Linked DNA regions of Saccharomyces cerevisiae S288C. The gene in region 1 interacts genetically with each later gene. Each region holds a gene or a part of one and is shown in the gene's direction. Other genes may lie near its edges.

Region 1 (2,945 bases):
ATGCAAGATGATTACATAGCACATGAACTAGGTCATCAAACCGAATTCCTCTTTCTGAGAGCGACCGAGAAATTTCGGGAATAATATTCAATGAAGTCTTAAGACGTTTTTGTGCAGGAGATACAATCGCGGTTGTAGAAGACAGCTCTTTAGTTTTTTTTGCAACTGCTGCGAAAGATTCTTCTTCATTAATGCCACCACTCCTAGTACTGGCACTTAATGTCCCAATTATTTTATCTTTAGGAAGTGGTGTCTCTTGTATAGTGTTATTTTTCAATGAAATTGATTTACGCTTCAGTTTCTTTGGAGTTGATGGCTGATTAATAACGAAAGATGTTTGGGGTGTTGTTCTATAACTAATGGGGGAGTTTTTCACAAGAGCAGGAGATGCAATAAGTAATGGTTTTGAGATCTGTTCTGTACGAGGTGAATGCTCAACTGGGACAAATTTCATCGAAGGTGTTTCTTTTTGCCAAGAAAAATCATCGCTCGTTGTTGTTAATAAACACAACTCATCCTCCGTTTCTGTCGAGTTCTCTTCGTCAAAGTTATTGTTGCCATCGCCAGGATAAGGTGCTACTTTTTTCAATGAAAGACAGACTGTGACGCCTGTAAAATTTATGAAACTTCCTTGGATATAGGGGAAAGTAACAGTTTCACCTTTAGCCAAAACAAAGCTGATGAAGTTTTGGTTCTTTTGAAGAGTTTTTCCATGCGATTGTTTAGTATTTTGCGAGGTCAAAGGCTCTTCTGCCACTAGTTTATAAAAGTTCCTTGTTGGGAAGGGTTTTACCAAATGCAACTGCATGGAGTAAGGCAAGTGAACGGACAACCCATTAGTTCCATTACATTCCAATTTTATTTCATTTCTGTCGGCGGCGTATGAAATAAAAGCGTGCTGCCTAGAGATATTCTTTCTGCATGGCAAAATAATGTTGCAGACTGATTTTTTCCTACCGATGGCTAAACGTGAGGGATCCGATGCATCTAATTCAATCTCGATAGGGCCTGCAAGCACCTTTTCTTGCTTTGAAGGAGATGACAAGGCAGATTTGGTCTCATTTAAACGTGAAGTGATATCTTTCACTGGTGAAGATTGTCTTCCGATGCTAGACGACGGGTCTGGAGTAGGATACTCTTCCAATTCGTAATTATACCGTTTTCTTCCTAAGGTCAATACAGAAGTATTAGCAAGCTTACCAGGTTCTTTTTGTGGGCTTTCCAAAGGTTTACCAGCAACTGGTGATGATGGTGGGAAGAGATGGGACATAACCAAAATTGTGACGATTTTGTCGTGAAACTTCTAGCGAAAAGACTAATGAAATCGGCAAATATTGTGTAAATAGTATACCAAAAAAAAAAACGCTTCTATATATTGTTCCCCGTTGCTAGTAACGATAGAAACGGCAAATAAGGAGAGAAATTAAACTTTCTTGGGAGAGGCAGAAGTGTTTACTTATTCTTCTGAAACAAAAACAAACGCGAAAAAAAAATTATCGCGTTTGGATTATCATTATTTAGACATTAACACCTGTACATATTTGTATTTTAAAAGCCGAACATTTTTGGGTTCTATATCAGTTTTTTTTTTCTTCAAGCACTCCGTACACCACTAATATTATCACTGAGAATCTTCCTGCCACTTGCGGGAAGGATGAGATTGGAAACATGGCTGGAATAGTAAGCATAGGTTACTATAGAAAGCGGTAACAAAAAGCACTACTATGTGTAGATAAAGAACAAAGAGGTAAACGAATATATAAGTAAAGATGGGTAGTATGTACAGGAATTATTAATTGATGAGTCAACGTTCAATCACATCCGGTCTGATTTAGAGGATTACATGAGAAAGAAGCACTGAAAAAATTTTCCACCAGGAGAGGCCAGGTAAACTAAGACCTACGTTATTCACTATGCCAAAAGATTTAAAAATATAGAATGATGAATGTTGCCAGAGCCATTGATGATAAGAAATTGCACATAACGGATGCATAAAGAGCGAATAAAAAGATTTGAGTGTCAATACAAAAAGGTGAGAAGAAATAGTGTAAGACAGCAACACACATCTAGACCGCCAATGAAGTTGTTCTGAATCCAGCAGTAGAGTTTATTTAGTTCAAAGTTTTACTAACGATAATTAACTTTTATGTTTTCATTTTAAACAGAGGGTACTCCTTCATTCGGTAAGCGTCACAACAAATCTCACACCTTGTGTAACAGATGTGGTCGTCGTTCTTTCCATGTTCAAAAGAAGACCTGTTCCTCTTGTGGTTACCCATCCGCTAAGACTAGATCTCACAACTGGGCTGCCAAGGCAAAGAGAAGACACACTACTGGTACCGGTAGAATGAGATATTTGAAGCATGTCTCCAGAAGATTTAAGAACGGTTTCCAAACCGGTTCTGCTAAGGCTACTTCTGCTTAAATTTGATATTATCTATAAGTTTTGTTCTTTCCTAAAACGAAAATAATATAAATTATATATAGTTAATATTAAGCATTACAAGGTTTCTATAAAGCGTTGACATTTTCCCCTTTTGATTGTTGCCTTACAGTCCCATTGAGATATATAATGAATCGGCCTCCTCTAGTGTGGTTAGATCGAATGATTTTGACTCAAGAATAGTTCTTGCCATTTCTTGAAATTTCTCATCGTACTTTACTTGCATTATTCTCCCCGTTCTTTTATTCAATTGCATCTTCAATTCTTCTTCGATATATTCTGGTAAATCCTCAAAGGCATCTTCGTAATAAGAGGCTTGATCCTTTATCGTCAGATCATGCAAACTATCTACAAGGTGTCGATGATCTCTCATTTCTCTTTCGTTTGCTGTCACAGTTTCGGTTTGGCATACGAGAAACCTCCATAGTGACATAATCAATTGGCTTTCTACCTGCTTGATTTGTTCTTCACGCAATTGTTTGAAATGGTCTTTCCATAGCCT
Region 2 (4,071 bases), 1.4 Mb from region 1:
CGGTGGAGCCCAGGTACGTATTAATTTTGAATGGCGCAAATCTACTAAGTACGGTATCATTTTGATGTCGGAATACGGATAGTCAGTCCATAACTGCACCACCAATATTTTTCTTGCCGTTCTCATTTCCTGCACAGTTTCTTTGATTATGTTTGCAGAAGAATTTCTTTATCGTTTAGTCTAAACAAAGAATTCGTTGTAAAGAATTTGAGAGCGGATCTTGCATTTTTTATTTATCATGCTTATGTTTTTTCTTTGATGTAAGAAGAAGCAAGTAAGATATGTGAATATCTTATCACTAATTCAAATAACTAAGAGAGCTCACAACGACAATTTGTGACAGCATGCGAAGCAAAGAGCAGTGATACCAGTATCTTTCATCCAGTAATAACATACGACTGATGTTATAGTTAAATGTTACATTTTGAGAGACTTCAACCTCTCGAAACCAAGAGGTTGGTTTTAACTCTGGTGACTTCAAGAAGGGTGGGTACCTTTTACAAAGCTTGAGACGAAGCAATAGTCAGTCTCTGTATAACAAGGAGACCACCTCATTTTCCAGTAACTCTTGAGGCATGTCGGATGGTTTGCCTTGAATAAACCGCAGTCATTATAATGAATGGCCTGTACTTTCAAAACAGTCTGGAAACAGAAATCCATTGCTGAGGTACCTTTTAGTAGCACTTTCGTTAGTGAAGGTTTAAGGTTAGTTCTTATTTACTGCACAAGAGTTTACATTTAACCACTCTAATAGTAACTGTTAGAGTGGTTTAACTGTTAGGTGATCTGTTCATTCCATTTTTCGTGTTGTATCTCAAGATGAGATAGCTTAGCGTTGCTACATACATAAATCTAAACATATAAACACCTGTGTAACTCGTTAACGTCTGGGCTTCCATGCTTCTACCATTTAGAATGATGTAGACCATTTATTCCAAGAGGATAAGCACCCTCTGTGATTCAAAATGATAATAAGTGTTGACGACAAGTTACTCTCGCAGAATTGTTGTCAACAGTCTTGTATTAGTTGTTATCCAACGCTCCCGTTTTCAAGTTCACTTAGCGCAAGTGGTTTAGTGGTAAAATCCAACGTTGCCATCGTTGGGCCCCCGGTTCGATTCCGGGCTTGCGCAAGTTTAATTTTTTTTCTTTTTCCACATTGTTTTCCACTTTGCACTCATTTCCAGTGTTTATTGTGAATGACAATTTCTTCAATCATTGAAATGATTGATTTTTTGGGATCTATTTTTCTCTTTAGTGGTTACTGATCAGGCAACTCTATATCATTGTTTAACCGCGGCTTGCGTATCTTATTTTCTTTTTCCTAGGCATCTTACTAAGGTACTCTTATCGCTAATCGCTTATCGCTTATCGTGCGCCAAAAACCGCCGGCGGCAATTTCGAGATGTTTTATGTCATGTTGGATTTTGCAATCTATTACCATGGAGGTGAGGGCCTTCGATGGTCCAATACCGGTGCACGTACCCATGTACGTTTATCGAATAAGGGGAGAACCTACTAATTTTAAGTCGGATAACGCGGCTTGGCACAGTAATCAGTTCCTTCTTTGGGTTAGAATCTTGATGTGAGATTGTGCTCAGTGATAATGATAGCGAATACGGCTTACTCTTGAATAACAAATGCATATATATTAAGAAGTAGTTCAAACGTATTCTGTTGACTGGCATGGTCCTTTCCTTCTTGTTGTGATTATATAAAACAGTATAAGCTGTTTACTTCAGTTGTGAAGTGTAACAAGGTCTTATAATTTATTATTACTAACAATGAGTATGTCAAGCAAAAACGAGAATAAGATATCAGTAGAACAAAGAATATCCACTGATATCGGTCAGGCTTACCAGTTACAAGGCCTTGGGTCTAACCTAAGGTCGATTCGCTCCAAGACTGGTGCCGGTGAAGTGAACTATATCGATGCTGCTAAATCTGTAAATGATAACCAACTGCTTGCAGAGATCGGTTATAAACAAGAATTAAAAAGACAATTTTCAACATTACAAGTTTTCGGTATTGCGTTCTCCATTATGGGTCTATTGCCCTCCATTGCATCTGTGATGGGTGGTGGGCTCGGTGGTGGTCCAGCAACATTAGTGTGGGGTTGGTTCGTTGCTGCGTTTTTCATTTTACTGGTGGGTATTACCATGGCTGAACATGCAAGTTCCATTCCTACCGCTGGTGGTTTGTACTACTGGACGTATTACTATGCTCCAGAAGGTTATAAAGAGATTATTTCTTTTATTATTGGTTGCTCAAACTCCCTAGCGTTGGCAGCCGGTGTGTGTTCCATTGATTACGGTTTGGCTGAGGAAATTGCTGCTGCTGTCACATTAACCAAAGATGGAAATTTTGAAGTAACGAGTGGGAAACTTTACGGTATATTTGCTGGAGCAGTGGTGGTTATGTGTATTTGTACATGTGTTGCTTCTGGGGCCATTGCTCGTCTGCAGACGCTAAGTATATTTGCCAATCTTTTCATTATTGTTTTATTGTTCATTGCGCTACCGATTGGTACCAAGCATAGAATGGGAGGTTTCAATGATGGTGACTTTATATTTGGGAAATATGAAAACTTAAGTGACTGGAATAATGGTTGGCAATTTTGTCTTGCTGGTTTCATGCCTGCTGTCTGGACTATTGGTTCCTTTGATTCATGTGTCCATCAATCTGAAGAAGCCAAAGATGCCAAGAAATCAGTCCCCATTGGTATAATCTCATCTATTGCTGTTTGTTGGATTTTAGGTTGGTTGATTATTATTTGTTTAATGGCCTGTATCAACCCTGATATTGACAGCGTTTTGGACTCCAAGTACGGCTTTGCTTTGGCTCAAATAATTTATGATTCGTTAGGAAAAAAATGGGCCATTGCATTTATGTCATTGATCGCATTCTGTCAATTTCTAATGGGTGCTTCCATTACCACAGCTGTTTCTAGACAAGTTTGGGCATTTTCCCGTGATAACGGTTTGCCCCTATCAAAGTATATTAAAAGAGTGGATTCTAAATACTCGGTCCCTTTTTTCGCTATTTTGGCTGCCTGTGTAGGTTCCTTGATTTTAGGATTGTTATGTTTGATTGATGATGCCGCCACTGATGCATTATTTAGTCTGGCTGTTGCAGGAAACAATTTGGCATGGAGTACCCCTACAGTTTTCCGTTTAACATCAGGTAGAGATTTATTTAGACCTGGTCCATTTTATTTGGGTAAAATCTGGTCTCCAATTGTTGCTTGGACAGGTGTTGCTTTCCAATTGTTCATTATTATTTTGGTTATGTTCCCCTCTCAACAACATGGTATTACTAAATCCACAATGAATTATGCATGCGTTATTGGTCCCGGTATCTGGATCCTTGCAGGTATCTACTACAAAGTTTACAAGAAGAAATACTACCACGGTCCAGCAACCAATTTGTCGGATGATGATTATACTGAAGCCGTTGGTGCTGATGTTATCGACACAATTATGTCCAAACAGGAACCATAAATGTTCAAACCTTTATAAAGATTTTATATTCAGAGTTTATAAGGTCTAGCTTATATAGTCAGTATTTTTAATTTAATTATATTATAGTTTATCCTATCTCACCGTTTTAGCTTGTTTTCTGCGCCCAAACATAAAAATCAAGAAGCGCGGATAATTTATGATCAGCTCAGCGGGAATGTTAATGGCAGATACTTAGAATTTGGTGGAAACGATTTTCTTCTCTAATCCTCATCAGAGGAGAGGTAATCGAGCAAGGGACCACCAAGCTTACCAACAGATGGCTTTGATGAAATATTTTCTCTACTGATATTTTTTTTCACTTTCTTCAATTTTTCTATAAAATCATCACTCTCCATTCCATTATCTAATGGCAATAGTCTTTTCTTGACATTATCAACACTTGCTTCTGGAAATGTCCTGTCTAACCTTTCATTATTCTTATTATTAACCTCAGTGCCAGCACTATTGGTATTGTTATTGATTAGATGCACCATCATGTTTAAAGACTCTAACTTCAGTTCTTCTTGCAGTCTTTTCTGTGCAGCGGGGTCTGGATCTTCATTTGCCCATT
Region 3 (3,493 bases), on another chromosome or scaffold:
AAACATTTGACGACGGTCCGGCCCCGGCGACAGAGGCATTGCTCAAGAAATTGAGACAAAGAACCACTTTTTTTGTTCTGGGGATAAACACTGTTAATTATCCTGATATATATGAGCATATTTTAGAGAGGGGTCATTTGATTGGTACACACACGTGGTCACATGAATTCTTGCCAAGTTTATCAAACGAAGAAATTGTAGCCCAAATTGAATGGTCAATTTGGGCTATGAATGCCACAGGCAAACATTTCCCCAAGTATTTTAGGCCTCCATACGGTGCAATTGATAATAGGGTTAGAGCTATAGTAAAACAGTTTGGCCTAACGGTTGTCTTGTGGGATCTCGATACTTTTGATTGGAAATTAATCACTAATGATGATTTCAGAACAGAGGAAGAAATACTTATGGACATAAATACTTGGAAGGGAAAACGGAAAGGTTTGATCTTAGAGCACGATGGTGCACGAAGAACAGTTGAGGTTGCTATTAAAATCAACGAACTTATTGGTAGTGACCAATTGACAATTGCAGAATGTATTGGTGATACAGACTACATCGAACGCTACGACTAGAAGTAAGATTTCCGAGAAATAAAGTTTCTCTCTATATATCTTTGATCTCTTATTTAATTATTCAACTCGCAAAAATAAAAAGAATATTTTGTTATTTCAAAAGTAAAAAAGTATGTATTAGAATAGAGGACATATATAAAAATCATATATATCGATGCTTGAATGTATAAGGAAAAGCGTCAAATTATGAACGGTAGGTACTTAGGATGCTGATGTCACATAAAGTCAGAGGGTATAACTTTAAAAAGTAATTTTTTAGAATCTTTTAGCGTCAAAACGTTACACGTACATTTGAACAGTGTTAAGAGTAGATTAATTCAAATTATACTTTTACGTGCTCCGATACAGTCTCTACCTCTTCGTTGTCAGTGCAAATAACAATTGGCTTATCATGAACTGTTCTTGGAGATGGAGAATATCCTTTCAGACTCGTAATATTGATGACGGTAGTTATTCTGCGACATTGAGTAGTACTAGCATCCCTTATAACCGGAATAGTTGTTGATGTAGGTGAACTTTTTGGGACATAACACTTGGCAGTTGTTTGCAAATTTTTTGTGATCATTGATATGTTTCTTAGTGACATTTTTGATGCTATTGTTTTTATAGTGTAATTGCTATGAGTTTATTTTGTTGACAAGTATACTTGGCTGTCTTTTTTATATAATAACGAAAATGTGTAGTGGAAAAGCAGGTGTGTTTTGTCTTATATCTTACAAACTATATAGGCTTATATAGTTTTTTTTCAAAGATTCTTATTACTGCACAAAAAAAAATAAGATCCCAAATTGAACATTAACATTAGTCATATTCAGGGATGGCTCATCACGAACAGCAAACTGAATAATTTTCTTGTCTGCGTTCCTTTTTTTGTGCACCAATGGATGTAGTATGCGCACCTGATGCGCATAATAGATTGCAATTACACTGACTACAACTTACGTATATGCGTTTTTATTACTTTTCTATTGCAACGGCCTAAAGGAATTCGATAAAAGAAAGAGTAGGCAAGATAAGCCTGAATTTGGCTTTCGGCTGTTATTTTTACTTCCGCTAAATTTTCTTTGTTCTTCCATTGTTTTTTTGCCTTTGTGTTCTCCATTAATCCATCCAATTTTAATGTCGGATTAATGGAACTTTCTATTAACCCATAAATGCCACATAGTACGGCTGTAGCAGTGAAGGTTACAAAAGGACGGGTAACACATGAGAAACATGCGTCAGGGAACAAACTAGATATTTGATTTTGTGACGCAACGCAAAAATTACTGGCTATTCTTTTGTAGTATTATCAAAATCCATTTAAAATATTCTCTCTCCTTCAGTAATCCTCTATTATTTATCAAAAACCCACAGTGGGTAAACAAACTGCAAAAGAGTTGTTATTATTTCTACGGATCGGCAATTGAAAATGAGAATACAACTAAATACAATTGATTTGCAATGTATTATTGCACTTTCCTGTCTGGGGCAATTTGTTCACGCGGAAGCTAATAGGGAAGATTTAAAGCAGATAGACTTTCAATTTCCTGTATTGGAAAGGGCAGCTACAAAAACGCCTTTTCCGGATTGGCTTAGTGCATTTACCGGGTTAAAAGAATGGCCTGGGTTAGATCCACCTTATATACCTTTAGATTTCATTGATTTCAGTCAAATTCCAGATTATAAGGAATATGATCAAAACCATTGCGACAGTGTTCCAAGGGACTCGTGCTCTTTCGATTGCCATCACTGCACCGAACACGATGATGTGTACACATGTTCCAAACTTTCCCAGACATTTGACGATGGTCCTTCTGCTTCCACTACTAAATTATTGGACCGGTTGAAGCATAATTCCACCTTCTTCAATTTAGGTGTCAATATAGTTCAACATCCAGATATCTATCAAAGAATGCAAAAGGAGGGACACTTAATCGGCTCACATACCTGGTCTCACGTATATTTGCCAAATGTATCGAATGAAAAAATTATAGCTCAAATTGAATGGTCCATCTGGGCGATGAATGCTACTGGCAACCATACCCCCAAATGGTTCAGACCTCCATATGGCGGAATAGATAATAGAGTAAGAGCAATAACAAGGCAATTTGGCTTACAAGCCGTCTTATGGGATCACGATACTTTTGATTGGAGCCTCCTTCTCAATGATTCTGTCATAACTGAACAAGAAATTCTTCAAAATGTAATAAACTGGAACAAGTCAGGAACCGGATTAATATTAGAACACGATTCAACGGAAAAAACTGTCGATCTTGCCATTAAAATAAATAAGTTGATAGGTGATGATCAATCAACAGTTTCTCATTGTGTCGGCGGAATTGATTACATAAAAGAATTCTTGTCCTAATTTTCAGGGAATTGAAGAAAATAAGGAAGAATTAAATTACAATTTAAAAAGAAATTGCTTTAGTATTTTATATATAGACATGCAGCAACTTCTTGATATATTTCAGGAAGAAAAAAACTGTTTCAATATATACGTATCTTCTGCTTTCAGCTACATTTTTACTTCAGAGACATAACCAGTCTTTTTTCATCAGTACTGTCCAGTTGTAACAACATAGAAATTACAGGAAGTAATTGGTTCCGTTGTTCCTTGTGCTCCAAAAATCCCAACAAAACATTTTTTATATATGCAATTTTTTCATTTTTCTCAGAGTCTAACTCCAATGAACTTGATGATCGTATCTTCTCTAATTTAGTTGGATTAGAGTTATTCGCTGGTGAGGAATCAATATTCGCGTTAGCTAGAGTACCGATAGAACCAGACCTACTAACTCTTCCTGACTTGTCACTGTATTGTCTTTCCTTTAAAGCATTCAATTGAGAGGACAATGAACGATAATTTTTTAGTAATCGATCAAATTTCTTGTTAAGTTCGTTATTTAAATTCAGAAGTTTCTCATTGGCAGACTGTA

Evidence for each region.
Region 2: mutations in RPL37B (region 1) and UGA4 impair growth when combined (synthetic growth defect), as found in Saccharomyces cerevisiae (one large-scale study listed by BioGRID).
Region 3: mutations in RPL37B (region 1) and CDA2 impair growth when combined (synthetic growth defect), as found in Saccharomyces cerevisiae (one large-scale study listed by BioGRID).

Annotation. Positions count from the first base shown.
Region 1 is NC_001136.10:1,449,678-1,452,622, reverse strand, and holds RPL37B (60S ribosomal protein eL37 RPL37B), read left to right. Parts: upstream 1-1,769; coding exon 1,770-1,776; intron 1,777-2,165; coding exon 2,166-2,425; downstream 2,426-2,945. Other genes in the region: PLM2 (Plm2p), read right to left, coding at 1-1,270; LCD1 (Lcd1p), read right to left, coding at 2,550-2,945.
Region 2 is NC_001136.10:82,486-86,556, forward strand, and holds UGA4 (Uga4p), read left to right. Parts: upstream 1-1,784; coding exon 1,785-3,500; downstream 3,501-4,071. Other genes in the region: active spliceosome conformation promoter CWC2, read right to left, coding at 3,722-4,071. UniProt on the Saccharomyces cerevisiae protein: Required for high-affinity, high-specificity GABA transport. Also transports putrescine.
Region 3 is NC_001144.5:745,954-749,446, forward strand, and holds CDA2 (chitin deacetylase CDA2), read left to right. Parts: upstream 1-1,983; coding exon 1,984-2,922; downstream 2,923-3,493. Other genes in the region: chitin deacetylase CDA1, read left to right, coding at 1-572; DPA10 (Dpa10p), read right to left, coding at 895-1,158; IMH1 (Imh1p), read right to left, coding at 3,081-3,493. UniProt on the Saccharomyces cerevisiae protein: Hydrolyzes the N-acetamido groups of N-acetyl-D-glucosamine residues in chitin to form chitosan and acetate. Chitosan is a component of the spore wall.